Pelodiscus sinensis: one gene and its partners. Each later gene encodes a partner of the first gene's protein in a complex. Links are inferred from orthologs where the notes say so. Each region holds a gene or a part of one and is shown in the gene's direction. Other genes may lie near its edges. The genes, in order: SMARCD2, PBRM1, ACTL6B and SMARCC2.

What was found.
Region 2: SMARCD2 (region 1) and PBRM1 share a complex: the UniProt entries of both Homo sapiens proteins name them as parts of the SWI/SNF-B (PBAF) chromatin remodeling complex. The link is inferred for Pelodiscus sinensis from reciprocal best matches to the Homo sapiens genes SMARCD2 and PBRM1.
Region 3: SMARCD2 (region 1) and ACTL6B share a complex: the UniProt entries of both Homo sapiens proteins name them as parts of the BAF complex. The link is inferred for Pelodiscus sinensis from reciprocal best matches to the Homo sapiens genes SMARCD2 and ACTL6B.
Region 4: SMARCD2 (region 1) and SMARCC2 share a complex: the UniProt entries of both Homo sapiens proteins name them as parts of the BAF complex. The link is inferred for Pelodiscus sinensis from reciprocal best matches to the Homo sapiens genes SMARCD2 and SMARCC2.

Annotation. Positions count from the first base shown.
Region 1 is NW_027466048.1:882,048-889,375, forward strand, and holds the start of SMARCD2 (SWI/SNF-related matrix-associated actin-dependent regulator of chromatin subfamily D member 2), read left to right. Parts: upstream 1-4,311; 5' UTR 4,312-4,388; coding exon 4,389-4,541; intron 4,542-7,328. UniProt on the Homo sapiens protein: Involved in transcriptional activation and repression of select genes by chromatin remodeling (alteration of DNA-nucleosome topology).
Region 2 is NC_134721.1:41,054,298-41,062,182, forward strand, and holds the start of PBRM1 (protein polybromo-1), read left to right. Parts: upstream 1-4,881; 5' UTR 4,882-5,019; intron 5,020-5,292; coding exon of another isoform or gene 5,293-5,302; exon of another isoform or gene 5,303-5,317; intron 5,318-7,335; exon of another isoform or gene 7,336-7,885. Other genes in the region: GNL3 (guanine nucleotide-binding protein-like 3), read right to left, coding at 50-185, 965-1,048, 1,545-1,658, 2,614-2,751, 3,694-3,752, 4,221-4,266. UniProt on the Homo sapiens protein: Involved in transcriptional activation and repression of select genes by chromatin remodeling (alteration of DNA-nucleosome topology). Required for the stability of the SWI/SNF chromatin remodeling complex SWI/SNF-B (PBAF).
Region 3 is NC_134734.1:9,006,994-9,014,169, forward strand, and holds the start of ACTL6B (actin-like protein 6B), read left to right. Parts: upstream 1-4,159; 5' UTR 4,160-4,289; intron 4,290-4,322; exon of another isoform or gene 4,323-4,942; coding exon of another isoform or gene 4,943-4,958; intron 4,959-4,964; exon of another isoform or gene 4,965-5,290; intron 5,291-5,648; exon of another isoform or gene 5,649-5,722; 5' UTR 5,723-5,848; coding exon 5,849-5,873; intron 5,874-6,338; coding exon 6,339-6,415; intron 6,416-6,795; coding exon 6,796-6,961; intron 6,962-7,176. Other genes in the region: GNB2 (guanine nucleotide-binding protein G(I)/G(S)/G(T) subunit beta-2), read right to left, coding at 1-52, 399-465, 622-784, 1,137-1,200, 1,567-1,673, 1,784-1,822, 2,070-2,126. UniProt on the Homo sapiens protein: Involved in transcriptional activation and repression of select genes by chromatin remodeling (alteration of DNA-nucleosome topology).
Region 4 is NC_134729.1:4,054,283-4,061,873, forward strand, and holds the start of SMARCC2 (SWI/SNF complex subunit SMARCC2), read left to right. Parts: upstream 1-4,589; 5' UTR 4,590-4,653; coding exon 4,654-4,764; intron 4,765-7,591. UniProt on the Homo sapiens protein: Involved in transcriptional activation and repression of select genes by chromatin remodeling (alteration of DNA-nucleosome topology).

The DNA of each region.
Region 1 (7,328 bases):
TAACCTCATTTTTGTGTAATTCCTTTTTCTGAAATTAAATGCCACAGTATTTGGGCTGTTACGATGTTTTTCCTGACACAGGAAAGTTTTTTTTAATATATATATTCTAGTCGCTATTTCAAAGAAATCCAGCTATTTTCACCTCCTGGACCAGATCTTGTGCTCCACTTAGGACAAAATCAAGTATTGCTTCTCCTCTTGTAGGTTTCAAAACCAGCCGCTCCAAGTAGCAGTCATTTAAGTTGTCAAGAAACTTTATCCCTTTATTGCATCCTGAGGTGAGGTGTACCTAGTCAATATGGGGATAATTGAAATCCCTCATTATTATTGAGGTTTTTTATTTTTATAGCCTCTCAGATCTCCCTTAGCATTTCATAGTCAATACCACCATCCTGGTCAGGTGGCAAGGTAATATATCCCTACTGCTATGCTCACAGTATTAGAGTGTGGAATTACTTTCCATAGAAAATGAGTTTGGTTCATTTACGATTTTTACTTCATTTGATTCTATGCATTCTTTCACATACAGTGCCACTCCTCTACCAGCACAATCTGTTCTGTTGTTCTGATATATTTTGTTCCCTGGCAGTACTGTATCCCATTGATTATTCTCATTCCACAAGTTTCTGTGATGCCTAATATATCAATATCTTCCTTTAATGTGAGGGACTCCAGTTCACCCATCTTATTATTTAGACTTCCAGTGTTTGTACAGAAGCATTTTTAAAATGTCACTATGTAGCTGTCCACCATTACATGATGTAATTGAATGGGACTCTTTTCAGTTGACCGTTTCTAATCAGATCTTACCCATATTTTATCATCTTCCATCCTCTCCTCTTTCTTAGGACATAGAGAATCTCTATTAACAGACCTTCCCTTAAAGGGATGTCTCTGTCGGATCCATGTGATCCTATGCACCTGTAGGCTTTCCCCCAACCCTTCATGTCAAGAAGGAAGCAAACTATCAAACAAAAACACTGTGCAACCCCTCCTCTTACAAATTCCCACCCAGATTTCTCTGTTTTCTGTGCTATTTGCTGGCTCCTGAGCTGCTACTGCACCCAGGAAGCAGTGCACTTGGCAAAGGACTTCTGGTCAGCAGCAATTGCAAACACAGCGCACTCACTGGCTGTGTCTAGACTGGCAAGTTGTCTAGACTGGCCGCTTGATTTTGCGCAAAAGCACTGACGTTCTGCTGTCCGAAATCAGTGCTTCTTGCGCAAATGCTTTGATGTTCCCGTTCGGGCAAACGCCATTTTCCGGAAATGCTTTTGCACAAAACGGCCAGTGTAGACAGCTGAAAACTGTTTTGCGCAAAAAAGCCCCGATGGCGAAAATGGCGATTGGGGCTTTCTTGCGCAAAACCACGTCTAGATTGGCACGGACGCTTTTCCACAAAAAGTGCTTTTGCAGAAAAGCGTTCGTGCCATCTAGACTCTCTTTTCCGCAAATGCTTTTAACGGAAAAACTTTTCCGTTAAAAGCATTTGCGGAAAATCTTGCCAGTCTAGACGTAGCCGCTGTGTATGCAGCTCAGCACTCAGAATAAAAGCAAGGGTTCAGTGACAAGCCGCTGTACTTGAACAAGGTGAGTTGCTTCCATTTCTTGGGAGTTGATTGGCTACCTTTGGAGTGGAGAGGAACAGGACACTCTCTCATGGGATTGAGAGAAATCACTGAGGGTATGTCTACACTACCCCGCTAGTTCGAACTAGCGGGGTAATGTATGCATACCACACTTGCTAATGAAGCCCGGGATTTGAATTTCCCGGGCTTCATTAGCATAAGCGGGGAGCCGCCATTTTTAAATCCCCGCTGCTTCGAACCCCGTGTAGCGCGGCTACACGGGGCTCGAACTAGGTAGTTCGGACTAGGGTGCCTATTCCGAACTACCGGTACACCTCGTTTCACGAGGAGTAACGGTAGTTCGGAATAGGACCCTAGTCCGAACTACCTAGTTCGAGCCCCGTGTAGCCGCGCTACACGGGGTTCGAAGCAGCGGGGATTTAAAAATGGCGGCTCCCCGCTTATGCTAATGAAGCCCGGGAAATTCAAATCCCGGGCTTCATTAGCAAGTGCGGTATGCATACATTACCCCGCTAGTTCGAACTAGCGGGGTAGTGTAGACATACCCTGATGGACTCTCAGGGTATGTCTACACTACCCTGCTAGTTCGAACTAGCGGGGTAATGTATGCATACCGAACTTGCTAATGAAGCCCGGGATTTGAATTTCCCGGGCTTCATTAGCATAAAGCTGGCTCCGCCATTTTTAAAAGCCGGCTAGTGCAAACCCCGTGCCGCGCGGTGTACAGATAGTTCGGAATAACTACGTAGTTCGAACTATCTAGCCCGTGCCGCGTGTAGCCGTGCGGCACGGGGTTCGCACTAGCCGGCTTTTAAAAATGGCAGAGCCAGCTTTATGCTAATGAAGCCCGGGAAATTCAAATCCCGGGCTTCATTAGCAAGTTCGGTATGCATACATTACCCCGCTAGTTCGAACTAGCGGGGTAGTGTAGACATACCCCCTGGGAATCCAAGCTGTGTCTATGCTGCAAAATGATGACATTTGGGCCTGAATCCTAGTGGGACCTGGGCTTGAATGCTTCACCTCTGCAGAGTCTTAGGGTACAGCTACACTGCACAGATGATTGAAGCTGCTGTTGTTGATCTTCCAGAGCTAATTAAGACAGATAATTCAAACTGTGAGGGACGCTCCAATTGATACTGGTAATCCTGCTTTCAAGAGGAAAAGGGAAGTGGAAGGAATAGTGTTCTTCCTTTGACTGCCTGCAGCGTAGACAGCTCCAAAAGTTGAGTTAAGCTACTTGGACTTCAGCTATGCAATTAACATATCTGAAGTTGGGTATCTTACTTTGACTTTGTCCCGTAGTGTAGATGTACCCTTTGGGTCCAGGCTAAGTCTGACAGAATTGTGTGTAGACAGAAGGGAGGATGTTGGATTCAAGCCTGAGCTTCTACTGTAGTGTAAACATTTCCTAACTAGCGTAACTAGAGAAAAGTTAAGAATGCCCAAGAGCTGTTTGGGACACAGGAATGTGAATGTTGAACCACTTAACTGGTAAAGTGGGATGTAATAGTGTAGTCGATTAACCGCTATAGACTACACGCATTTCCTACCACTTGCCAGTACATTTTTTAGCAGGCTGGCCTGCAGCCCAGCTCATTCCTGGTTTATGCCGGATTAGGGACCCACCCCCACTGCGGCTCTGCTTTTCAAGTGTATTAGGAGCCAGGCCGCCCGGCTCAGTTCCAGGAGCTGAGCCCCCCCAGTCCCTCAGACAGCCGGTCCATGAGGGGAGCTGGTTCAGGACAGACCAGCTCCCGCCTGGCGCCTGCGAGCAGCGTCCCGTGACGGGGGTTCACCCCTGGCTCCGAGCAGGGGCGGGTTCGATCCAACATGCCAAGTCCTGCTCCCCTGGGGTGTCCGGCTCCCGGGATGCAGAAGCACGAGGAGCCCCAAACCCTCTGGGTGCCCGAGGGGGGCGGGGGAGGGGAGCGAGGTTAATGAATGAACGGGGGGGGGCAGCCCCCCCCATCACTCCCGCCTCCTCCCGCGCCCAGCAGGGAGCAGGAGAGTTAAAGCAGCCAGCTTCTCTGCGCGGGGAGGGGGGGGGGGCGCGACGCTCCCGTCGCTCTAATTCGCGGCACATCTGTCAATCTCCCCGCGAGCCCGCCCCCGGGTCCCGGCCTGAGCCCCCCTCAGGGGGCCACGTGGGGGCGGGTTTGAGGCGCAGAAGCGGGCAGGGCCAAGGGGGCGGGGCCCAGGAGGCGGGCTCGTGGGGGCGGAGTTCGGGCCGAAGCGGAAGGCTCAGGGGACGGGCCCCGTGAGGGGGCGGGGCCAAGGCCTTAGTGTGAGCGCGTGGGGTTCACGGGGCGGGGCCAGTGCCCAGAGGGCGGGGCTCGGCGAAGGGCGGGGCTGGGGCCTAGGCGCGCGGCTCAGGGAGCGGGGTCAGAGCTGGGGGCGGGGCTCCTTGAAGAGAGGAGGGGGCTCGGGCCGAGGCGCACGGCTCAGGGGGCGGGGCCGGAGCTGGGGGCGGGGCTCGTTGCGACGAGGCGCACGGCTCAGGGGGCGGGGCCGGAGCTGGGGGCGGGGCTCGTTGCGGAGAGGCGCGCGGCTCAGGGGGCGGGGCCAGTGCCCACAGGGCGGGGCTCGGTCAAGGGCGAGGCGCACGGCTCAGGGGGCGGGGCCGGGGCCGGGGCCGGGGCCGGAGCTGGGGGCGGGGCTCGTTGCGGAGAGGCGCGCGGCTCAGGGGGCGGGGCTCGTTGCGGAGGGGCGCGCGGCTCAGGGGGCGGGGCCGGCCGGGCCGCGCGGGACTCGCCCAGGGCGCCGCCGCGGGTTGCTGGTAAACAGGCGCGCGAGCCGATGTCCGGGCGCGGCGCGTTCCCGCTCAGCCCCCTGCCGCCCGCCGCCGCGCCCCCCCCCGCCGCGGGGCCCGGCCTCATGCGGGGCCCAGGCCCGGCCGCCGCGGGGCCCGCCGGATACCGGGCCATGGGGCCCGCCGCCGCGGCGTACCAGGTGCGGGCCGTGGGGGGGCTGAGGGAGGGGAGGGGAAGGAGGTTTCTGGGGGGGCTGAGGGCACTGGGGGGTGGGGGAGGGGAGGAGGATGCTGGGGGGCTGGGGGTGGGGGAGGGGAGGTTTCGGGGGGCTCAGGGCACTGGGGGGTGGGGGAGGGGAGGGGAAGGAGGTTTCTGGGGGGGCTGAGGGCACTGGGGGGAGGGGAGGGGAGGAGGATGCTGGGGGTGTGGGGGGGAGGTTTCGGGGGGCTCAGGGCACTGGGGGGTGGGGGAGGGGAGGAGGATATTTAGAGGGGCTGAGGTCATGGGGGTGGGGGGGAGGTTACTTAGGGTTGCCGGGGGCTCAGCACCGAGGGACCATTTGTGATGTGGGGAGGGTGGGGGGGGACCCAGGGAAAGTGTCCAGTGGTGTTGGATGAGGGAAGTGGGGGGACCTGCTGTGGGCAAGTCTCCCAGAACAGTCCCTGGCCAGATACCATCTCCCGGCCTGTCCAGTGTACACCGCAGCCCTCCCTTGGGGATTGAAGCCCCCCCAAGGGAGGAAATTATTGCCAGTCCCATGCCCTGGGGGAGGGGGCTCTCTAGCTGGAGTGCTGCTGCTGCTCCCGGATGGGGCAGTGTGTCCCAGCTCTGGGGCAGCCTCTCTGGTAACTAGGGATGTTAAAATACTGTATGTTTATTCTGGTAAATGTGTAATCACTGAATATTTCAGTAGTTACATGGAGTGCTGGCTCCCCTTGAACACCGGATCCCACCTCCCCCCACTTCTCCCCGCAGCAGCACAGACAGGGCAGGGCCTGTGTGTAACCATGCACATAAACCCATGAGCCCAGGCTCATCAGTTAGCCATGTACACACATGCTCATCCCTGCTGGTAACTAGGTCTCTCACTGTTAGAACCGCAGTCCTTAAACCACGGAGGCACCAGGTATTCAATCTGACACTCAGCTTCACAAAGTGGCCATCTGCCTCTGGTTCCAGGTGTGCTCACAATGTGTGGCCCTACCCAGAGCACTAAGTTACACGGGGTCATGGCAGCATAGTTTGCATTTAAAAACAAATGCCATGCTCCTCATGCCAGGCACAGATGGATAAACGGAGTCATGGACGCAGCATTTGGTTCTCACAGCTGCCAGGGTCTAGTTAAAATAATGTGCAGCAGTAACCTAGGCTCAAGTAGACAGTGGTTATGCTGTTCTGCTTCTCCATTCTAGCTCGTTCCCCATAATGCAATTTAGAAAAAGTAGGGAAAGAGGCCTAATATGTCAACTGAAGAAGAGTCTGGAAAATTGTTCCCTAAGATTTGCCAGTTAGGTGGATTTACCAGAGGGCTGGATGTTGTCATTCCATTTACTAGTTTAAAAAAATGGTAGTACCAGTACAGCTTGTGGCACCATATTCTCCGAAGCAGTAGGGAACTTAGGAGAGAGATGAGACAGGGACTCATGGGAACAAGCTCATGCTTAATTTCCTTTTTCTGAATTTGGCTGAGATCCTTTTCAGATTGCTCCTGGTAGGAGCTGTCACTGGGTAGGTGGAGGGGGTTGAGAGACTGTTTTGGAGAAGATGAAATGGAGATGGTGGATTCTACTTGAAAAGTGACTGGATTAGATTGACTAGAAGCTTGGTGGTTTTTATGGTGCCTAAAATAGCAGTGTGTGTGTTTGGGGGGAGGGTTTCCTGCAAGAGAGTCATTAGAAAACAACAGGACAAGAGACAGATTCCTAATCAATTCTTTTCTTTGCACTTTTGGGGCCCCAATTGGTTCCCTGTACAAGAGTCTGGTAACTTCTAGGTTCTGTCTGCATTGCAGCTGGGAGCATGCTTAAGCTAGTGTACAGAAACTAGCTGTGGCCTAGGTGGTGATACAGGCTAGCCACTCAGATACAGACCCAGGGAGCTGGCCAAGCTTTTGCTCAAGGGGCTAGCCTATGGTGTAGCGTCCACACAGGTACTTCTGGTGTGCGAAGCTAGCACATGTCTGTGTACCCAGGCTGGGAGGCACACTTCCAGCTGCAGTGCAGACGTGCTTGCAGGCTGTTCGGTGTCTGTTGGCAGAGGGGTGGGATGGAGAACTAGGGTTGCTTTTCCTGAGGCGGGTGGGTGGGTGGGGGTGTGTGAGAGAGAGAGATACTGTAGTATTAGCTGTAGTACTCAATAGGAATGCTCTTGAATCCAGCCAACACTTATTTTTGTTTCTCCTACAAACTAATTGCATCAAACAGCTGTCTGCTTTCCCAGGTTCTAAGAGGGGGAGACACTGCGGGCTTGATTTGGCTATTCAGCAGCCCATTGGTGCTTCCTCTTCTAAGGTGGTGAGTTATGGACACACAATAGGTCATCACATAGCCCCTCTGCACCCTGTGGTGGGTGTTACAATCTGCTTTAGAAAAGGCTGGCCTGAGTTGCTTGGCTAAGGTTGGATGGCAGGCTGTCCTTGCCCAGTTTCCAAAAAATGCTATGGAAACTAACACATAACACCCTTGGTTCCGGGATTAACATCTCCTGAAGATGGTAACTGTTTGCAGTGCAGGATGATATTACAGGCTCTGTATTGTTAACTGAGAAATGTATTCTGTTCAAATCTTGTAGCATGTGATCAGGATGTTAAAGAAACTTTGTCTAGCTGCTGTTGCAGGCTTATCCCCTATTCAGCCTCTGTTTACGCCTTCTTTTTCCTGGTTCTGCATGGCTTTTAGCCACTTAAAGTCCATTAAAACGTTAGCAGATGACGCTGACTCACTTGTGGAGTTACTGTGCAAACACTCTGTCAGCATAGGATGGTGGC
Region 2 (7,885 bases), on another chromosome or scaffold:
GACCAGATGAGTGACTAAATGTCTGTACAGAACAAACTGCTTCACTTACCAATTTTGTTTAACACCAATAGTAGCTTTTTGTTTCCTCCAGACTGAGTAATGATTTGTTCTACCTGGGAGCACCGAGAGCCCAAGGGATCTCTGGCATCTAAAACCTGCAGGACTATATCTGAAACCTCCATCACCTGAAGTGGAAACAGGATTAGAAACAGCATTATAGAGAATATCTTTGAAATCATCAATACTATCCTCTCATTACAATGAGCCTCAGGGGCCGCAACAGGCCCCCGGGCCTGAGGCTCCCCACCACTGCTCTACAGTAGCAGAGATAAATGGGGTCAATCAAGAACAGATCAATGTTGCGCACTGATCGACTTGCTTCATTCAATTTTTAATAGGGCAATCTTTGTGTGTGTGTAAATCTTTGTCACTGTTATCTGAAATGATAAAAGGTTTTAAGGAAAACTAGAATACCACAGAATTTAATTTTTCCCACCATCCTACTGGCTACAGCTCAATGGATTTCTCAGTTAGTTCTCTCTAACACAGGTCAGTATTACTCTGCTATTGCTAAAACAACATAGTAATACAAGGGTACTGTAGGGCTCTGTCTTGCAGGACAGAAAAGTAAAGCCCCTTTATCTTTTTCTTTAAGCAGGCAGATATTAGTTAATTGAGAATTAAGAGTCTAATAATTAATAACCTGATCCTGAAGCACTTTGGTAAAATGCTCATTGAGTCCAAAAGTCATGTTGCTGAAAAGTGCCGACTACCCTCAATGAGAGGTGAGAATTCTCAGCACCTTTACAAGACTGGGACCCTGAAAGTGCATTGTTCTCAAACTTTAAACTCCATACGATGTCCACCTCTGAATAGAAACAAAATACCTGAAAAGGAAAGTATCAATTTCACGGGTGTTTGGATGCTGATCAAAATATAGAAAGTGGTCATTAAAAGTTCCTACCTTTTTAAGTTCTCTGCAAAATGATTTATTTGAATTTTTATCCAGCAGTCTGTTCGATTGTGCTTTTAGTTTCATGGTTGATTGCTGAATAAAAAGAGGGTGGGAGCAGATAAGAGAATTTGAATTAAAATATTGTCTTTACACAACAGAAGGTAATAACAGTTAGAACTACAATATTTCCAACAACATGAAAAAGCAACAAATCCGGGAATACATGTCTTAAGAAAAAAGATACTTCGAGGATTACATTTATCACACGTATACATCTTAATGGACTCAGACCTAGCCAGGCTGTGATATTTGCAATATTGTTCTTGAACACTGCATGAAAATGGATGTTAGCACTAAAACAGACACCCTATATTTACTTTGATTAAAACGGATGCATTATAATTGCCATATCCTCACTAAATATATCAACAAGTCTTTTCTGTTGCTCCAACATGAAAACAATGGGAATTTTGCCATAGACTTCAAAGGGTGCTGGATTAGGCTTTATGAGAGGATAGAAACTTTTCTATTGTGCTGCAAGTGAACTAGCTTCTTTGAAAAAAAGGAAAATTATACTACAAACACATACCTTTTCTTCTGGATGTTTCTTCGTTTCGGTAGCATCCTTTTTAGCTTGTAGCTTTCTTTTCTTTTCAAGGTTCTTCTGCCTAGCAAGTTTCTGCTTCTGTTTTAGTTCTTCAAGCTAATTGCAACACAAGATGGACAACATTTCATAAGCTAAAGAGTATATTTCCTTCCCACTTATGATCAGGATTGTTTATGACGTGCTTCAGAAATAAAGAGCAGCACTATAAAAGTGCAACACATTACCACCTAGAATTATTCTTTGAATATTTTGCAGTTTTTAGTGCTAATGAATTGTGCCAGGTTAAGCGCCCTAGAAAGCTAAGTTCTCTATCCACATAAGGAGTGAAATTCTGGTTGCAATGACTTAATGGCAAAACATCAATGGGACCAAGATTTCACTCTTGAGTATGGTTTTTGTTTTAATCTTGACCTAGTGTGGTCACACTGAAGGAAAGGGGATATTCAGTCTCCGTTATCCTTTCAATCTTGGTATGGAAATATTAAGAAATCATGGCTGGGAGCTTAAGGAACTGGTTGGCTGATGCAAGCTTATTTCTACTCCTTCTCTTACTTGATGAAAAGTTGATACATTCACTGCCAATTAAACGTTTTGAGGCACTCAGTTAACTCTGGTGCCAAGACAGACAGAAATACTATAGTGACAGACACCTTCTAAATGATGGTAGATGTGGTCCCTCTGTGTAGTAACATGAGCAGACAGTGAATGCTATCCACAAATATCTATGTACAGCAGTCTTCAGCAATTTTTTTCCTTTTTAAAGACAGCTGTGTAGGTTATGTAGAAATCTTATTCTTTGTAGGAAACTAATTATGCTAAAAATTCCACACATTTGTATTTTACTTCTATACAGTTACAGTACAAAATACTAAAAAATTCCACACGATTTAGTATAGCTAGTTGTTATCTAATATATTAAATTGGAAAAGTATCTGTAGTATTTTAGAGTGAAGAGCTATTAAGACTATTTATAGTGCATGATACATACCAAGCTTCCCTGGAATGGGAATATGCACAAAACCCCTTCATTCTATTCTAACCTGTAATTTACCCTTTGTTTCCTTTGCTCAGCTTCACGAAGAACTTGTTCCTTAAATGGTGCAGCGTTGGGAATTCCTGGATCTTTCTTGGGCTTTTTGTGTCCACGTTTCTTGGCTTCTTTCCTGAGTTTTCTGTTGTGCTCCCGAACCTATAGGCAAGAAAAAATAAAATCCAGTATGGGAGTCACAAACCCAGTTTGATACAGAGACCCTCACCATTCTCTCTCTTTCATAGTCACGTATATACGATTTTTCTGTGTTTGCAGTGAAGGGCTTTCAATTACAGACTGAATCAGCATGTAGCTGTACTTAAATAAACAGATCCCCGACTACTGCAGAAATTAAAGATCCCAAGACTCAAGTTATGTCCATCTCTCTGCCACTGTGGATTTGTTCCCTAAATTTAAAAGTAACTTCCCATTGTAGTTGAACCATATGTCCACTCACAAAAGTTCTGTATTACATAATTTTTGTATTATTTGTCAAGGTATTTGGCATTAGAAAAGAAAATGATTTGTACATGCGTGAATTCTTGGCACTGGGATATTAATATCTAGCACTTAAACTATCTTGTTAGTCTTTACTTAGGTGATGAGCTTTTGTGGGGCAGACCCACTTCTTCAGATCGTATCATACCTTATTAGTCTTTAAAGTACTACATGACTGCTTTTTTTGTTTTAGCAAGATCAGACTAACATGGCTACCTCTCTGTAACTAGTATCTAGCATTCACATTATAATACAAATTGCACTCAGGCCATAATCAATTTATGAATGTTTATTCAAACAAGAAACACCAACAGCTTTGAAATTATTCGGCTAGTTACTAGTACTACTGTGATATAAGAAGTTAAATAAAAATAACACCACACTCCAAAAGCATTTTGGTCATTCAAGCACCTTCATTTAGTTATGCTTTAAACAGAAATGGGTTCTATTCAAAACTTTACATTCAATCCCCCACCCAAATTTGAATGCAGAGCTGAAATTTACAGTTTCTAAACACCACAAAAATATGTCTTTATATATTCTATGATGAGGGCTGAAATATAGCCAAGCATGCTTAATACCAAATTTGGCACTGGGACCTACCTTTTTCTGAATTTTATATCGTTTGTGGCAGGTCATGCGCTTACTAGCCTTCTTCAACTCTGAAAACATAAGAACAGGTTGCAATTAAGTAGATCTTCCAAATGAAAATCTTATGAGCAACACTAATGTGGAAGCCAAAAACATGTAGCCAAAGAAGCTTAACAAACAACAGATTTTTGGTTCAGATGGGAAAAAAAACCAAAATTTTATTTAATCCAAATGATTCCCCACCTCAAAATATTTTGCTGAACTGAAAACTAAAAAGGGACTTTTAAAATCGATCAAAATATTTCATTTGATCAAAACAATTTTTGTCCTGATTTTTTTGTTTCAATTTAGTCACTTTTGGGTGTTTTTTCACTTTGGGTATGTCTACAGTAGAGGAAGATGGAAGCTGTCGCTCTTCCAGGGTTCGAATTAACTGTCTAGTTAAGACAGCTAATTGGAAGTGAGAGGGGCACTCTGGCTGATGCAGTGACCATGCTTTCACCAGGAGGGAGGGAAGTCGATGGAAGAGTGGCTCTTACTTTGACTTCCTGCAGCGTAGCCAAAAGCTGAATTAAGCAACTTCATCTACACAATTCATGTAGCTGAAGCTGCAGGTCTTAATTCGACTTGGCCCCGTACTGCAGACATACCCGTTATGTTTTATCTTTTTAAAGGGTCAGATTTGAATGTAAGACAACATCTTAGGTTTAAATCAATCGACGTTCACTTTTCAAAATTAACCGCTATTTCCGTTGTTCCTGGGCTGAACCGACTCGCTGGGCCGGGCCCGAAGCGGCACCTTTCGGGCCGCCCCCCAAACCCCGGGTTGGAAAAAATCGAGCTCAGCTCCACACGCGGGCCCCGATCCCGCAGGCAACTGCGAGCACGTGGGGCGAGCCGCGCTGTGGCCTGGCCCTGCCGCCGCAGGCTCGTAGGAGCCGGGGGGGGGGGGGGGGGGCCGACGGGCCCCGGGGTCCCAGCCGCAGCCGCCGTCACCCCCTCCCCTCAGCAGCCCGGAAGAACTCGCGGGGGGGGGGGGGCTCTGCCAGCCCCTCGCACGCGCGCACTCACTGGGCCGCTTCATGGCGCGGCGGCGGCGGGCTCCGCTCTCGGCACGTGGAGGCCGCCGACTGGCGAGGGGCAGGCGGGTCCCGCGACGCTGCCGTAAAGCAGGCGGGTGCCGCTGCGCGCGCTGTCGCGCGGCGGGCTCGCTTGGCGGCCGGGCGGGCTTTGCGGCAGCGGCGGGCCCGGCAGTGGGCAGGAGCGGCCGGAACAGCAGCAGCGGTGGCGGGGGGCGAGCGCGGCCGCGGCTGTCGGAGGCGGAGCGAGGCCGGCTGGGTAAGCGCGGGCCGGGCTGCGGGAGGCCGCCGCTTCCCTTTGTGTGGCCGCCGCGCTGCCCGGGGGGGCCCAGCCCCTGTTCGCACCGCTGCGCCCCCCCCGGAGCTCTCCCGCCGCGGGGGAAACTGAGGCACGGAGCGGGCAGTCCGCTCGCCGTACGGACCCGGGAGCCCTGGCCCAGCGCTGACCCCGGGGGGCACGGCCTGGGGCACGGCAAAGCCCCCTCGACGTGTAGGGGGAGGCCCCGCCCATGCCGAGCCAGGACCGACTAACCCTGCATCATCCCTTGTGTCCAGCCGAGGGAGGTAACAGCGGAGCCGATTAGCTGATCAGCAAAGCGACCAGTCCGTGCTAGAGATACACCACTCTCCTCCCCCAGTACATCTTGTAGCAGCCGGGTTCAGTCCTGGCTTGCGCGGGGTCTGGGACCGACCCCCTGCTGCGGCTCTGCATTTAAACCGTATGAGGAGCCAGGCGGGCAGGCAGCCCGGCTCAGTTCCAGCTTGCGCCAGGTCTGGGAGCTCCCCCCTCTCCCCACGGACAGGGGCTGCTGCAGCACGGAGTGGCAGGGGGCTCCTCGGGAGTGGGGCCAGAGCATACTGCCTGCCAGCCCCTCACCGGGGACTATAGAATAGCTGAGTAACCAATTAACCAATATTTAACACCCCTAGTCCAATCTGTTCTTAAAAACTTCCAGGGATGGGGATTCCACAGTCTTCATTGCCACAGCACAAGGGGCTTTGGCTGGGGCAGCTTCCCCTTCAACTCCTCCTCATGTGTGGTTAACTGATCAAATACTTTAACTGGTTAACCACTTAACTGGAATTTTATATCCCTAAAGGGAACATATTATCATTTTATATGATTACTGATAAATCCTGAAACACGTTTGACCATATGAGGAAAAGTCAGTGGAGGGAATGATGTACTGTAAAAGGATAAAGTTAGCAACATTAAATGCACATATTTATTTCTTTATTAATTTTTGAAGGGGTAATGGACAAGGGACAGAATGTGACCACTTATTTGATCAACTACTGGGTAAAATACAGGTCTGCTAATATTCAAATATTACTAAATGGTACTTTAAAGGAATACATGTTCTAGGAAAGTTTGTGAGGCCTTTTCGGTAAAAGGTTTTTGGGAGGATTGGGTCTATATATGGCCCTATAAATATTAATAAAATATTTTTGTATAGCTACATACGCATCTTCAAGTATTCTACAGTTGTTAACTATGCACCCAGTACTTTACAGGTGAAAAAATTGAGGCCGAGACCATCTATTACATCATCCTGTTTCTGTATTTTGATTTGTAAGACTGTCATTCACGTGAATTTGTCTATCATTTCTACCTGCCCTGACATGTTCTCTGGGACAGAAGCGGTATTTTGTCCCTTTCTGAGAAAAGGCTGAAAGAATTAGGCATGCAGTAAAACTCTGATGGTCCGGCATCTGATGGTCCGGCACCATCAGGAACCCGGAAGTGCTCCGGGCAGCCGGACCATTGGAGCTGCTCTGCCCCCTGCTTCCCCATTCAGCCGCTGCTAAAACTGACCAGCGGCTGAATCGGGGATGCCGGGGGCAGAGCACCTGGGGCTCTGCCAGGTTGGTCCCCTAGCTCTGCCCCTCGGGGCTGCTGGACCAACTGGGCAGCATCCCAGGTGTCCCTGATTCAGCCGCTGCTGAAACTGACCAGCGGCTGACTCCAGGAAGCCTGAGGCAGAGCTGCTCTGCCCCGGGCTTCCTGGAATCAGCCGCTGATCAGTTTCAGCAGCAGCTGACTTGGGGACACCTGGGGTAGAGCAGCTGGGGTGCTGCCAGGTTGGTTCCCGCAGAGCCGAGGTGTGGCGCTGCGGGGACCAACCCGGCAGCGCTCCAGCTGCTCTGTCTCAGGCGTCCAGATTCAGCCGCTGTTGAAACTGACCAGCGGCTGACTCCAGGAAGCCTGGGGCAGAGCAGCTCTGCCTCGGGCTTCCTGGAGTCAGCCGCTGGTCAGTTTCAGCAGCTGACTTGGGGACACCTGGGGCAGAGCAGCTGGGGTGCTGCCGGGTTGGTCCAGTAGCTCCATGGAGCGGCGCTGTGGGACCAACCCAGCAGCACCCCAGCTGCTCTTGGGGACGCCTGGGTTGGCACTACCGGACCAACCCAGCAGCACTCCAGCTGCTCTGCCCCAGGCGTCTCTGATTCAGCCGCTGCTGGTCAGTTTCAGCAGCGGCTGAATCAGGGATTCCTGGGGCAGAGCCGGACTATCGGAAGGGGGGGCTATGAGGGGGTCTGGGGTGTCATTCCCCCCCCCCTCATAGCCCCTCCTTCTGATAGTCCGGCATATCTGATAATGTGGGTCCCAAAGGTTCCGGATTATCGGAAGTTTACTGTATTTAGTCCAGAGCAGAGGTTTTCAAACTGTGTGTCAGGACCCCAAATTGGAATGCAGCCCCATTTTAATGTATTGCCAAGATTGGTGCTAGACTTACAGGGACCTATGGTCAGAGCCAGACCCCTGTCATCAAGAGCTTTGCCGTTCCTCCCCCAGTCAGTGCTGAAGAACTTGGACTTTGGCTTCTGCCCTGCACCCTGGGGTGGTGAGGCTTGGGCTTCAGTTTTGGCCCTCCTGTCCAAGGTGGCGGCACCTGGGGGAGATCCTGTACTAATTTTTGTTGTCAGAAAGGGCCAGGGTTACCCAGGTAAGCCAGTAAGGGCATGCTTATCTCTTAAGTATTAACCCTTTGTATCCCTAGTTTCCTCTGTCATTTTGTGACATTTACCAATGATCTGAAAACGGTTTCTGCAGTAATGCGAAGGATGCCCACATAGCAAAAAATAGTTTTCTTGACATCTGTGTGTCTGCCTTATTGGTTGTTTTT
Region 3 (7,176 bases), on another chromosome or scaffold:
GTGCCCCCCAAATGTTGTTGTCTGTTGTCCCGTCTCGATGTCCCACAGTGCACTGGAGAGGGGAGACAGGCTGGAATGCCCTCTCCTGGCTCCACCTTGGCTCTTCCCCTCTGTTGGTTCCACCCCCATCCCCACCACCTACTTTGCCCCTCACACAGGCTCTGCCCCCATTCCCACCAGCTGACTCCATGGTCGGTCCCACTGATCCTGCCTGCCAGCTGCAATCCATCCCTACCCTCTTGCCCACCCACTGGCCCCACCTACTCCAGCCTCTCCCTTGGGCACCTCCACAGACCCAGCCTTCCCTTATCCTTTCCCCCCAAGCTGTGGTTCTGGGGAGCTGATTCCTCTACACACCCCCCCAAGCACAGGGGCCTGAAGAAGGGGAAGAGGCTCACCAGGTGGTGTCCCCGGAGCTGGTGATGATTTGATTGTCATCGAGGAAGCGGCAGCAGGAGAGGTAACCTTCCGGGGGGGACAGCAAGATGCTGATTAGCTGGGAGCCGGGGTACTGGCAGGAGCGCATATCCAGGAATCTGGGTTCCCAGCCCCCACGCTGTAACCACCAGACCCCTGTTCCCTCCCCGAGGGAGGAGTAAATCCTAGCAGTCGAGGGCTCACCCGTGTGCCCTGGCAGTTCTCGGCTGACACGGACGTTCCCCTCCCGGGTTTTCAGGCTGTAGATGGAACAGATGTTATCCAGGCCCCCGCAGGCCACATAGTTCCCTGATGGGGCATAAGCGCAAGTCATGACCCAGGACGAACGCAGTGGGATGGCGTGGACCTGGGGAAAAGGAGAAATTACTCTACCTACCCAGGTATGAAGCCAAATGTCCCCTTCCCTAGCCCATCTAAGCCAGTATCCAGCCTGCTGCCACTTCCAGGCTCATCTACCCTGCTATCCTGGGGGTACCCCCCCAACCTCTCTTCCTCAGTATCCCACCTGCTGTCTCTCCCCCCTCTACCCTGGGACCCATCTAAATCTACACCTGCTTCCTCCCCCCTCCCCCACCCAGAGGCCCTTTACCCTGGTATCCTCCCTGCCAAATCCATTCAGCCCATCTATTCCAGTATCCTGTCAGCTGCCCCCTTCCTGGGACCCTTTACCCCAGTATCTCACCAGTCAACTCCCTCACCTTGTTCGTGGTGTAACTGTCCCAGATGATGAGTTTCCCGTCCTGCGATGCACTGACCAGCAGCCTAAGAGGCAGAGAGCCCTCTGATGAGCCAGAGTGGCACTGCGCTGTGGGTGGTGGCTCAAAATACTCCCATTATTTGCTATCAGCCCTTCCCCTGCCTTGCCCCTCCCAGTAACTAGGCCAAGGCCAATCAAAACCAAAGCGACCCCCCCCCCCCCCCCCCAGGCCAATGGAGAAAATGATCCTCCTCTCCTGGCCACGAACACTGAGCCAGGTTCCCTCTCTAACCAGATGCTCTGCCCCAGAGGTGGCTGCATCTCAGCCTGAGAGAGAGGTCCCTGTATAACTAGATGCCCTGCCCTAGAGGTGGCCACATCAGAGTGCTAGGTGAAGGATGCCCATATAGCTCGCTCATCCCAGCTCTCACCTGGAGTCAGTGCCCCAGTGCATGGCATAGATTTTCGCCAGGTGGCCTCGCAGGGTGCGTCGTGTCCGCATCTGGATACGTCCCACAGGGTCCATCCCGGCTGTGATCTAGGGGAGGGGCGGACAGGTGAGGCATGGACCCGCACCCAGCCAGGGAACCTGGAGGCAGGGGAAAGGGGCTGCATGGGGATGCCAGTAACAGGCCCAACACTGCTCACCTGGCTCAGAGTGGAGTCACCACATGCCTTCCTCGCATCCTGGGGGGGGGAGGGAGACCTTGGGTTAAAATCTGAACTGCCCAATACCCCCCTTGCTTTAACCCTACTCCCAGAGCCAGGGACAGAACTCGGGTGTCGACTCCTAGTGCCCCCATGTGGACAGCAGGAAGCGCTACCCCCCCCCCAAAAAAACAGTAGCCATAAAGACCCCCATGGGGGAGAAGTCTGGCAGCCAGGACTCCTGGGTTCAGCATTGGGGGCTCCAACCCCCATGGGCTCCACACACCCGGATCTGGTTCCGCAGCTGCTCTGCCTCCTGCCGAAGCTGCTCCAGCTCACTCATGGCTGTGGTGGGGGGGCAGCGCTGGCGCCACGGCTCCGCTCAGCTGGCGGGAACCTGCACAGAGGAGGAATGCTTAGTGGGATATGGGGCCCCTAGACCTGCTGTGGAGAGTTCTGGCTCCCAGCCCTACCAGGCCCAACCCAGTCCCCATTCCCCTCCCAGAGCCAGGGAAGAGAACTCAGGAGCTCTGGCTCCCAAGCATTATTTTTCCCATTCTCTTGGCCAGTCATGGGGCCAGAGTGGCTGAGGGGGGGCAGGTGTCTGGCACTGCGGATTCTCTGTGTTCCTTCCAGTGTGTTACAGCATCTGGGGGGCGGGGGGGGGGGGCGCTGAGGACAATCAGTAGTTGCTGTGGTGATGGGAGAGGCTTAGCCCCAGCTCCCTTCAACTGATGGTTGCCAAGGCAACAGGATAGGAGACTCAGACAAGATTTAGGATGGAGCAAAAATGGGGGGCAGGGAACAGGATAGCAGGGTGCTCCCACCAGCCACTGACTGGCTGGGAGGCAGGCAGTGGGTGAGTGTGGCCCGGGGCATAGCAGATTGTCCGAACTGGGCATAACTGCTGATCCCATTTGCTTCCGTAAGAAATTCCACAGCCAGTAAATGCCCCCCAGGGCAATGGCACTATCCTGGACTCCTGGGTCCCCGGCCCGGAAGGGGGGGGAAGGGCTGGGAGCCCCGGACTCCTGGGTCCCCGGCCCGGAAGGGGGGGGGAAGGGCCGGCAGCCCCGGACTCCTGGGTCCCCGGCCCGGAAGGGGGGGGAAGGGCCGGCAGCCCCGGACTCCTGGGTCCCCGGCCCGGAAGGGGGGGGGAAGGGCCGGCAGCCCCGGACTCCTGGGTCCCCGGCCCGGAAGGGGGGGGGGGGGGGGAGGGCCGGCAGCCCCGGACTCCTGGGTCCCCGGCCCGGAAGGGGGGGGGGGGGGGAGGGCCGGCAGCCCCGGACTCCTGGGTCCCCGGCCCGGAAGGGGGGGGAAGGGCCGGCAGCCCCGGACTCCTGGGTCCCCGGCCCGGAAGGGGGGGGGGAAGGGCCGGCAGCCCCGGACTCCTGGGTCCCCGGCCCGGAAGGGGGGGGGGGAAGGGCCGGCAGCCCCGGACTCCTGGGTCCCCGGCCCGGAAGGGGGGGGGGGAAGGGCCGGCAGCCCCGGACTCCTGGGTCCCCGGCCCGGAAGGGGGGGGGGGAAGGGCCGGCAGCCCCGGACTCCTGGGTCCCCGGCCCGGAAGGGGGGGGGGGAAGGGCCGGGAGCCCCGGACTCCTGGGTCCCCGGCCCGGAAGGGGGGGGGGAGGGGCCGGCAGCCCCGGACTCCTGGGTCCCCGGCCCGGAAGGGGGGGGGGGAAGGGCCGGCAGCCCCGGACTCCTGGGTCCCCGGCCCGGAAGGGGGGGGGGGAAGGGCCGGCAGCCCCGGACTCCTGGGTCCCCGGCCCGGAAGGGGGGGGGGGGAAGGGCCGGCAGCCCCGGAATCCTGGGTCCCCGGCCCGGAAGGGGGGGGGGGGGGAAGGGCCGGCAGCCCCGGACTCCTGGGTCCCCGGCCCGGAAGGGGGGGGGGGAAGGGCCGGCAGCCCCGGACTCCTGGGTCCCCGGCCCGGAAGGGGGGGGGGGAAGGGCCGGGAGCCCCGGACTCCTGGGTCCCCGGCCCGGAAGGGGGGGGAAGGGCCGGCAGCCCCGGACTCCTGGGTTCTCTCCCCAGCAGGGGGGCTGTTTTCCCGGTGCGGGGCTGCGAGGGGGGAAGCGCAGCGTGGGCAGCTCTCCGGGCCGCAGCTGGGACGGGAGCCTGGGCCCGCTCGTGACTGCGCCCAGCCCCTGCCGATCTGACAGCTGGGGCCCCCTTCTCCTCCCTCCTACCTGGCGCAGCCTGCTTCTGGGGGGCCGGGGACTCCTTTCCGCGGCCGCTCCCCTGGGCGGAAGGATCCGGATCGGGCTCCGCTTCGGCCCTCAGCGGCGGAGCGATCCGCCCCCCCCCGCCTGCTAGCCCCGGTGATGCGGCTGCGGGCGGCCGCGCCCAGAGCCCGAGACGCACCAAATGAAAGGGGCGGGGGAGGAATGAGGGAGAAACCATCTACCATATAGAGGGGTGCTATGGAATGGGAGATACCAACCCACTTCCTGGTCCACCGGGTGAGACCACCTTCCATATGAGGGGTGCTATGGATTCGTTTCTGTGGTGAGAGTGAATTCATCCTTTAATGGGCTAAACCAATTCACTTCCCAGCCTAGGGAGGTTGTGGGATCTGGAGATATTTAAGAGCAGGTTGGACAGACGCTTGTCAGGGACGGTCTAGAATGGTGCTGGGTCCTGCCACGAGGGTAGGGAACTGGTCTTTTCCAGTTCTAGTGTTCTCTGATTACATTCTATGAGTGTGAGACCATTTACTATAGGGAGGGGGCGGTCAGAGGTGGAAGAAACCAATGCACTTCAAGGGGGGAGGTGAGACTACCCACTGTATTTAGAAGGGGGCTAACAATAGGATACACCAAATCGATTCCGGGGTGACGTGAGACCGATGCTCCAATGAGGAAAAGGAGAAAATGACCCATACCAACTCTCTAGGGAGACCCGTCAGAGCACCCCCCCCCCCAAGTAGGAACGGGAGATACCAACTCTCTCTGAGAAGGGGCAGGCAGGGTTCAGTCCTGGATGGGTGGAGAACAAGCAGGGGAGGTTGCTCATTTCCTGGGGGGCGGAGGAGGGAGGGAGACAACTCAGCTTCTGGGGGGGGGGGGAGGAGGGAGAGAGGAAATAAAGATGGGAGATACCAGGACAGGGCGAGACCAACTAATGAAAGCAGAGGGGAGAGATGAGTTGTACCAACCCTGATGTTCTCTGCAATGGGTCAGTCAAACTAGGAAGGGGGAATCAACTCGCAGTCCCCCCTGCTCTAACCCACCTGCCTCCCAGAGAACCCAGGAGTCCTGACTCCCAGCCCCCGCCCCTGCCCTGACCCATCAGCCCCCACTCTCCTCCCAGCAAACCCAGGCGTCCGGGCTGCCAGCCTCCCTTGCTCTAACCACTAACCCAGGAGTCCTGACTCTCAGCCCTCCCCTCCCCTCTGATCCACCAGCCCCCACTCCCCTCCTAGAACCAGGAGCGAACCCAGGAGTCCTGACTCTGAACCCCTCCTGAATTCCTGTACATCCTAGTTCAGGATCTGTCCCCTCCTCTAGGTGAATTTTGCTGTTTTGGAACAACCCAGGGCATGGAATTGCAGAGTGGGGGGAGGTTGAAAGGGGCTGGCTAGAGGAGGTGGGAGCATGTATGGTTGGATGAAGAGGGGCAGGGATGGATGTTTGGATAATAATTTTTGGAGAGGTACCTGGAGTAATTAAATAGAATGTGGGATCTGGTGGGTTAGAGTGGGGTGGAGGGCTGGGAGCCAGGACTCCTGGGTTCTCTCCCTGACTCTGGGAGGGGAATAATGCTTGCTACTTGAGAACTAACCCCCTCCCCAGACACTAATCACCTACCTGCCTCTTTAAGAAAACCCCAGATTATCACTTATTGTCTATTTTGTTAACCAATCAGGAGCTGCCTCGGTTGGGGGGGTGCAGCCTGTGATTGGCTGAGGTGGAAGCTCCCCTCTACGTCTCTCTCTATAGCCCCCCTCCCCTCCACGGTCGCTGTCCAGTCGCCTGGGTGCTGAATAGCCCCCTGCACCCAGCCTCCCCTACATCCCGGACCTCCCTCAAGGATCTGTACGGGGCAGGGGGCGTAGCAGAGCCAGGATGAGTGGGGGTGTCTATGGAGGAGGTAAGGGATCCTCTTTAAGGCTGCCCCCCTTTTTTCTTCACAGCATTGGCACGTGACCCACAGGGGGTGCTCTGCTGCAGGGAGGGGCTAGAGTCAGCAGGGGGTACTCTCCCCTTGGAATCAGGGCTGGCCCCTTTTCTTGGCGCATGAACATTAGCATCTGAGCAAATTCCAGATCCAGACATTGTCTGTTGGAGCGGGGATTGTCTGTGCCTCTGTGCAGCATTGCAGAGTGGTCAGTGCACCACCCCGGCAGTTGGCACATCTCAGTGCCAAGCAAGGGGTCCCTGTGTAACCAGCCACCCCGCTCCAGAGGTAGCTGCATCTCAGCTCTGAGTGAAGGGTCCCTGGATAACCAGATACACTGTCCCAGAGGTGGCCACATCTCAGTGCTGGGCGAGGGGTCCTTGTCCCAGAGGTGGCTGCATAGGTGATTGGTAGTGACTGTTTCTATCTCTCTCCCAGATGAGGTTGGAGCTCTTGTTTTTGACATCGGCTCATTTTCAGTGCGAGCTGGTTATGCTGGAGAAGACTGCCCAAAGGTACATCCAGGCATTCCTGGAACCCCCCTCAACTTTCCCCTATGACCGCGATGTCCAACATGTTAGCCACTAGCCACATGTGGCTAATTTGGCTGGTTGAGTGTGGTATGTGGCTTGAGCAATGTGACTATTTGGCTGGTTGAGTGTGGCTAGTTGTCTATAGCAGTAGCCCGTATAGTGCTTCAGAACTGGTTGGACACCACGGCCCTATGAAACCCTCCTATTCTGGGGTTGGATGGGAACCAGCGCCCCCTAGAGGAGACAAGCCCCATACTCCATTCCCTGCCCCCTTGAGCCAGCCAGTCCCTTGCCCTGGAGCCGGGTGGGAGCCGGTGCCCGTAGAGACAAGCCCTGCATGTCACCCTCTTGCCCCATTGCAGGCAGATTTCCCCACCACAGTGGGACTTTTGGCCCCGGAAGAGGCGGCGCTGGAGCTGGATGGGGAGAAGGAGAAGAAGCCAGGGAAGGTTTATTACATCGATACCAACTCGCTGCATGTCCCGCGGGAGAACACAGAAGTCCTGTCGCCCCTCAAGAATGGCATGAGTGAGGCTTGGGCTCCCGGGACTCCTCCCCTCCTACATGGGACAACCTGCTTTGCCCCAGCCACAGGGCCCCCCAGCCATGGCCCCTCAACCAGTGTCCCCACCAGATTCCCATGGCATTTTCCCCACACCCCCTGCTATGCACTGCCATGGTCCCTCCATCTGACCCACTGCTATGCCCATGCTGCAGACCCATCATACCCCACCTTGCCACCT
Region 4 (7,591 bases), on another chromosome or scaffold:
CAAATCCCCCCTCACTCTTCTCACTCTTCTCTTCTGCAGACTAAACAAACCCAAATCCCTCAGCCTCTCCTCATAGGTCATGCGCTCCAGCCCCCTAATTATTTTGGTCGCCCTCCGCTGGACCCTCTCCAATGCGTCCACATCCTTTCTATAGTGGGGGGCCCAGAACTGGACACAATACTCCAGATGTGGCCTCGCCAGAGCTGAATAAAGGGGAATAGTCACTTCTCTAGATCTGCTGGCAATGCTCATCTAATGCACCTAATATGCCATTCGCCTTCTTGGCACAAGGGCACACTGCTGACTCATCTCCAGCTTCTCATCCACTGTAATCTCCAGGCCCTTTTCTGCAGAACTGCTACTTAGCAATTCGGTTCCCAGCCTGTAACAATGCTTGGGATTCTTCTGTCCCAAGTGCAGGACTCTGCACTTGTCCTTGTTGAACCTCATCAGATTTCTTTTGGCCCAATCCTCTAATCTGTCCAGGTCACTCTGGACCCTCTCCCTGCCCTCCAGCGTATTTATCTATCTCCCTCGCTTAGTGTCATCTGCGAACTTGCTGAGGGTGCCATCCATCCCCTCCTCCAGGTCATTAATGAAGATGTTGAACAAAACTGGTCCAAGAACAGATCCTTGGGGTACTTTGCTAGCAACCGACCGCCAACCTAACCCCGAGTCGTTTATCACCACCCATTGGGCCAGACAGTCTAGCCAGCTTTCTATCCATCTTACAGTCCTTTTATTCAATCCATTCTCCCTTAATTTGCTGGCAAGAATATTGTGGGAGACTATATCAGGAGCTTTGCTAAAGTCAAGATATATCACATCCACTGACTTTACCATGTCCACAGAGCCAGTTACCTCATCATAGAGGCTAATCAGATTGGTCAGATACGACTTGCCCTTCGTGAATCCATGCTGACTATTCCTGATCACTTTCCCCTCTTCCAAGTGCTTCAAAATGGATTCCTTGAGGATCCCCTCCATAATTTTTCCGGGGACCAAGGTGAGGCTGACTGGTCTGTAGTTCCCTGGATTGTCCTTCCCTTTTTTAAAGATGGGCACTACATTTGCCTTTTTCCAGTCATCCGGGATCTCTCCCGATCTCCACGAGTTTTCAAAGCTAATGGCCAAAGGCTCTGCAATTACATTTGCCAACTCCCTCAGTACCCTCGGGTGCATTAAATCCGGGCCCATGGATGTGTGCACGTTTAGCTTTTCTAAATCGTTCCTAACTTGTTCCTTCCCCACCAAGGGCTGCCCACCTCCTTTCCATACTGCGTTGCCTAGTGCATTTGTCTGGGAGCTGACCTTGGGTCCCTGGGCACCTGTGAATGACACGGCACCACTTGCCCTGCCCCACGCCAGGCCCGAGAACTCAGCTGGCTCCCAATCAGCAATTCCATCTCCGCAGCCCGGGATGGGGTTTAAACACCCCGCAGCTGCCCAGGCTAGGCCTCCGGGGCTTCTTGTCCTGCAGAAAGCAGCTGGGAAAAGCTCCCCCTTCTATTTCGGCCTTTCTCAGAGGGCTTGGGATCTCACCCGCACTCAGCGCCCATTGTGCCAGGCGCCCTGCATGTGCTACTGGGCCTGATAAGCTCACCCTGCCGCTGGCAGGACATTACCGACGGGTAAGCGGATTCATGGAGCTGTGAAGGGCCAGACTGTCCCGTGAGCCCAGGTCCTGGGGGCCAGGCTGAAAAGCTGCCCCCAGCTACAGGCCCGAGAATGTGGGAAACTGGCTATAAAGCAGCCAGCTGCTGAGAGTCTTTGGCCAAGCTTGGACAAGGGAGCTCCTGCGACAAAAGAGCCCCCCTGCTCCTGGGGCAGGCACAATATCTGGCCTGTAGACAAAAGGCCCGTGGCACGCAGGGTCTCCTGGGGCGGGGGAGCTTTGCCTATGCCATGCTGCAGGATTTCAGGCAAGCTGAGTTAGGGGTTCAGCGGAGACAAGCGTTACCCCCCCCCATCTGCCCCAGGGGGATTTTTGGCACCTTCCTCTGGAAGTGAAACGTGATCCTGGTCGTGGGGGGCTGTGGGGAATGGAACTACACCTGGGTTTAAAACGAAGCTTGGATTTGAGGGCTACGTCGGCCACTGTGACAGGAAGGCTAAACCTGTGCCAGGCATTACTGCTGCACCGATAGGTCCAGTCATGGGCCTGGACCCTACAGTGCTAGGTACTGTACAAACAAAGGGGAACGATCTAAGCCTAAGACATGAGCCCTTAGCTGGACACAGGCAGCCTATCGGGGCAGCAGGAGAACCCTTGGGCCCACAGTGCTCAGCAAAGACCCGGCCCAGCAGGTTTCCTAGCACAGGTGGGTTTTAAAGTGGGACTAGAAGGTGGCAGCTTTGCAGGTATTCGGGGAGCTCCCCCCTGCCCGGCCAGTTCAGGCCCCACACCCGCTCCCCCAAGCTCTCAGAGGCTGGCCGGGCGTCTGAGCTAGACGCCAGGGCAAGGCCACGGGAGATCGGGGTTCACATTCCTGACCCTGCTGCAGGGTGGCTGCATGCTCTGCTCTCTGCCTGGGAGGCCAGAATGGGGCTTGCCCGAAGCAATGGGAACAAAGGGCCAACCCTTGATCCTGTTGCAAGAGGGGTGGGGGTCTTGCTAGGACCTGGCCTCTATGCTCTGCCTCATCCCAAAGCGCCCTGGGGTGGTCCCCGGCAAAGAGGGGCTTGCTTCCCTGGAGAGCCCCATACTCTGCCAGTCTCCCCTGCCCCCTGCTGCTTTTCTACCCACTGACCTGCAAAGCAAATCCACCTTTCTAGCCAACTCCCTGGCAAGTCAGGTATCCCCCAGCTGCTACACCCAGAGCAAATCAAGTTGTGCTAGCAAGTTCTGCTAACGCCCCTCCCCCATTCCTCCAGCCAGCTGTGTCCCCTGCCCCACAGATAGTACTGCTGTGCCCCCCACGAGTTTTGCAATAGCAGATCACATACCCCACACACACATACAGATGAATCCCTGCCCTCCTCTGGCATCCCCCCATCCAGCTGTGTCCTTCCTACCAGCTCTGCAGCCCCCCCTCCCACAACCCACATGTGCCCCCTACTAGCTCTGCATCCCATACCCAGCCCAGATGTACCCCAAATGCCTTTGCACCCCCCCACGCAGCCTAAATACACCCCAGCTAGCTCTGCACCCTTCACCCAGCTTAGATGCACCCCAGGCAGCTCTGCACCCCCCAGCCAGCTCTGCACCCCCTAAGCAGCCTAGGTGCACCCCAAGCAGCTCTGCATGCCCCCAGCATAGCCCTCTGTAGCAGAGGGCCACCAGCTCTGGAATCCCCCAGTTCAGGGATTGCCACCTGTATTCTACACCCCCCAGGTCAGATGTGCGCCCCCCTCCCCGCAGCACTGCCCCCTCCTGTCTGCCGGCAAATGCAAACACAACATACTCACCCCCACAGCCCTGCCTGTGCCTAAAGCGCCCGCCCTCTCCCCAAGTGTTTTTTTAAAAGGTGGGTTTAACGCCTGGGCCTTCCCCACAAAAACGAGTCGCCGTCACGAACAGGATTCGAACCTGTGCGGGGAAACCCCATTGGATTTCGAGTCCAACGCCTTAACCACTCGGCCACCGTGACACCCGGCCAGGGCTTCGCCGAGCTCCGGCTAGAAGATCCACATAGGAGAGGGGCGGGGGGGGGAGCAACAGAATCTTCCTCCCCCCACGCGTGCTGCAGACCCCCGAGTGCCCCCCAACCCCATCGTGACCCCCTGCTCCCCTCCACCACAGGGCCGGGCCCGCCCCTCCTGGCCACGGCTTTCCCAGTGCGCCCCACGGCCTCTCCCCGCCTATCCCCAGAGCTCCCCGCTGCTCCCATCCTGAGACCCCCCCATCTCCCTATGCCCCACAGCCCCCACCCCACAGCCCCCTCCCCGAACCTCTATAGCCTCCTCTGTCCCCCCATTCTGCCATCCCCATAGCCCCCTGTGCCCCACAGCCCCCTCCCCCCCGGCATCCCCACAGCTTCCTCTGCCCCCTCCCCACGGGACCCCCCAGTCCCAGCGATACCCATATAGCCCCACAGCCGCCCCCTCCGCCATGGCACCCCAGCCCCTCCCCACGGGACCCCCAGCCCCCTCTTCTCCCCTCGAAACCTCCAGCCCCCGCCCCACGGAACCCCCCCCCCCAACCCCAGCGATCCCCACAGCCCCTCCCCCCCCGGACTTCCTCTCAGCCCGGGAGCAATTTTCATAGCCCCCCCCACCGCCTCCCCCCATGCACCCCCCCACCCCAGAGATCCCCCCCATAGCCCCACAACCCGCCCCCCCCATCGCCCCGGCGCTGCGCGACGGGAAGATGGCGGCGGCTGGCCGGCAGGGGGCGCCGCGCGGCGGGAAGATGGCGGCGGGCGGCCGGCAGGGGGCGCCGCGCGGCGGGAAGATGGCGGCGCGGGGCGGCCGGCGGCCGGCAGGGGGCGCCGCGCGGCGGGAAGATGGCGGCGCGGGGCGGCGGGCGGCCGGCAGGGGGCGCTGCGCGGCGGGAAGATGGCGGCGCGGGGCGGCCGGCGGCCGGCAGGGGGCGCTGCGCGGCGGGAAGATGGCGGCGCGGGGCGGCGGGCGGCCGGCAGGGGGCGCTGCGCGGCGGGAAGATGGCGGCGCGGGGCGGCGGGCGGCCGGCAGGGGGCGCTGCGCGGCGGGAAGATGGCGGTGCGGAAGAAGGACGGCGGCCCCAACGTCAAGTACTACGAGGCCGCGGACACGGTGGGGCAGTTCGACAGCGCGCGGCTCTGGCTGGGCAAGAACTACAAGAAGGTACCGGCCCGGCCGGCCCCCCCGCCCTGCGCCTCGCCCCCCACGGGCCCCCGCTCCTCGGGCCCCTCCCCCCGCCCCTTCTGCCCCCCCAATCGCCGCACCCCACTGACAGGCGTCAGCCCGCCTCGAGCCCCCTGGGTCACCCACATCTCACCCGCCCCCGTGCCCCCCCGTGCCCCTCCGTGCGCCTGTCCTCCCCACCGACCCCCGTTTCCCCCAGTGTCTGCCCCCCCCAGTGTCTGTCCCCCCCCCCGTGCCTGTCCTCCCCACCGACCCCCTCCCCCGTGCCCCACCAGTGTCTGTCCTCCCCCCTGACCCCCTCCCCCGTGCCCCACCAGTGTCTGTCCTCCCCCCTGACCCCCTCCCCCGTGCCCCACCAGTGTCTGTCCTCCCCCCTGACCCCCTCCCCCGTGCCCCACCAGTGTCTGTCCTCCCCCCTGACCCCCTCCCCCGTGCCCCACCAGTGTCTGTCCTCCCCACTGACCCCCTCCCCCGTGCCCCACCAGTGTCTGTCCTCCCCCCTGACCCCCTCCCCCGTGCCCCACCAGTGTCTGTCCTCCCCCCTGACCCCCTCCCCCGTGCCCCACCAGTGTCTGTCCTCCCCCCTGACCCCCTCCCCCGTGCCCCACCAGTGTCTGTCCTCCCCACTGACACTCCCCCCTCATGTTCCACTGGTGCCTGTCCTAACCACTGACTTCAGTTCTCTATGCCCCACTGGTGCCTGCCCTCTCCATTGACCCCCATCCTCTGTGCCCCACTGGCACCTGTGCTCCATACTGACCCACATCCCCCGTGCCCCATCCTCCCTGCTGATCCCCAGCCTCACTGGCAGCTCACAACCCCCGCCTCCACTGAATTCCCTCAGCCCCTTCCCATCTCCTCAGGGCCCCCGTTCCCCTATGCAGTCCCTTCCCTGCTCCTCCATTACAGCCTCTTTCCCCTCCTTGCCTGAACCCCTCGTTCACCCCCAGCGACCCTCCTGTTCCGCCTTCCAGCGCCTTAATTCCCTTCCAATCACCTACCCCTGTCTCAGCACCTCATTGAATTCCCCCTCTACTCCCCCCAGCTCCGCAGAGGCCTTACAGTGCATGGGGCTGATCTGATTTGTACAGGAAGGGGGAGGGGGGTTGTTCCCCACCTAACCACATCTGTCCTGGGGAAGGTGCCCCCTTAACACTCTCTTGGGTCCCCCATCTCACCCACCGTGGCTGGGAGCCGTGTCCCTTCCTGGTGTGCGGAGATGCGAGCCAGGCTCCCACTAGGAACTGCTCCATTTCCTATCCCCTCTCGGGGGGGCCCAGCCCCGCAGCTGATAACGTCGGTCTCCCCTCGGATCCTTGTCCATCTTTCACCCAAGTCCTTTTGCCTGCCTGTGCCGAGACAAAGGCCAGCCTGTGTGCGGGGAAAAGTGACCGAGCCAAGCCCCTATACTAGGGCTTGGGATCCCTCACTCCCGTGAAACCGTCACCAGATCTGGGCTGCGAGGAGTCTTTTCTTTGCAAGGGTAGCTTTAGGGTTACGATCATCCAGCCACCTGCTGCGCTGTCTCAGCATAGGGCGTGTGGGCGGGGTCCTGCGGGCCCCACCTGGCTCTTCCAACCCCCTCGCCTCCCCCTTGTGCTGTCATGCAAGCAGCATGGGTCTGTGGTTCCCAGGCTGTTGCCTTTGACCTTCCACAGGCAGCGAGAAGCTGAGTCACCAGACAGCTCCTGGCTCTGGAGTGACAGGCTGACCTGGCCATCCCTGCTCACTGGGAATTGGCCTTTTCACACCCTCGCAGGGTTGAACCACTGCCGGAAGCTGGGACTGGCGGACAGGGGATGGCTCGCTAGCTAATTGCCCTCTTCTGTTCATTCCCTCTGAAGCCCTGGCGACCGCCACTGTGAAAGACAGGCGGCTGGGCTGGAGAGGCCATTGGTCTGCCCCAGTGCGGCCGTTCCTACGTCCTTCACTCCCCTCCCCCTAACTATCTTCAGCTAAAGGCTCTGCCCCCATGTGCCAGGCTGCCTGCTGACTATCATCTCTGTGCCCACACCCATACCAATTGGGTGAAATACGCGTCACCTCCAGCAGAATCCTAGAGTTGGATGAGACCTCAGGCAGTCGTCCTCAAAGCAGGACCAACCGCAACTACATTGCCCTAGCCAGGGCTTTTGGCAAGCCGGGGCTTAAAACTTCTAAGGATAGAGATGCCGTCACCTCCCTAGGCAACCCATCCCAGCGCTTCCCACCCTACTAGGGAATTAGCTTTTCCTAATAACCAACCTCTACCTCCCCCACGGCAACCTGAGACCATTGCCCCTTGTTCTGTCATCTACAGATAGCTACATGGGGCATTTGCTTTGGGTTGCCTCAGAGTTTGAAACAAGCGCAGTTTATTGCTCTGGATTATTCCAGTGATGCTGGAGGGGGGGAACCAAACGCCATCAGGGCACCCTTGGGCTGGGTGCTGGACAGACACATGGCGAGAGACCGTCCTTCTCTCAGTCATCACAGGCAAGACAAAGTGTGGAAGGAGAAAGCGGCCCAGGGAAAGATGAAGAAGCCATTCCTTGGGGCAGAGGCGGGACCGTGGTCAGCCAAATTCCTGCCCCTTGCAATTCATGGTCCTCAGGGAAAGGCCTTTGTATGGAATGGCCGATATGATCTGCTTGTTTATTTCCTGGGAGTCTTGGTTCCCAGACAGACCCCAGGGCCAGGCCCCCAATGCTGCCTCTGTTTAAAAAGAGCTGCACTCAGTCTGACAAAAGGCACCCTTGGGGACAGAACATCCCAGCCAGCGATCCCCTCAGCCTCTCCCCACCTGCTGGGCCATCTAGCTTCAGCT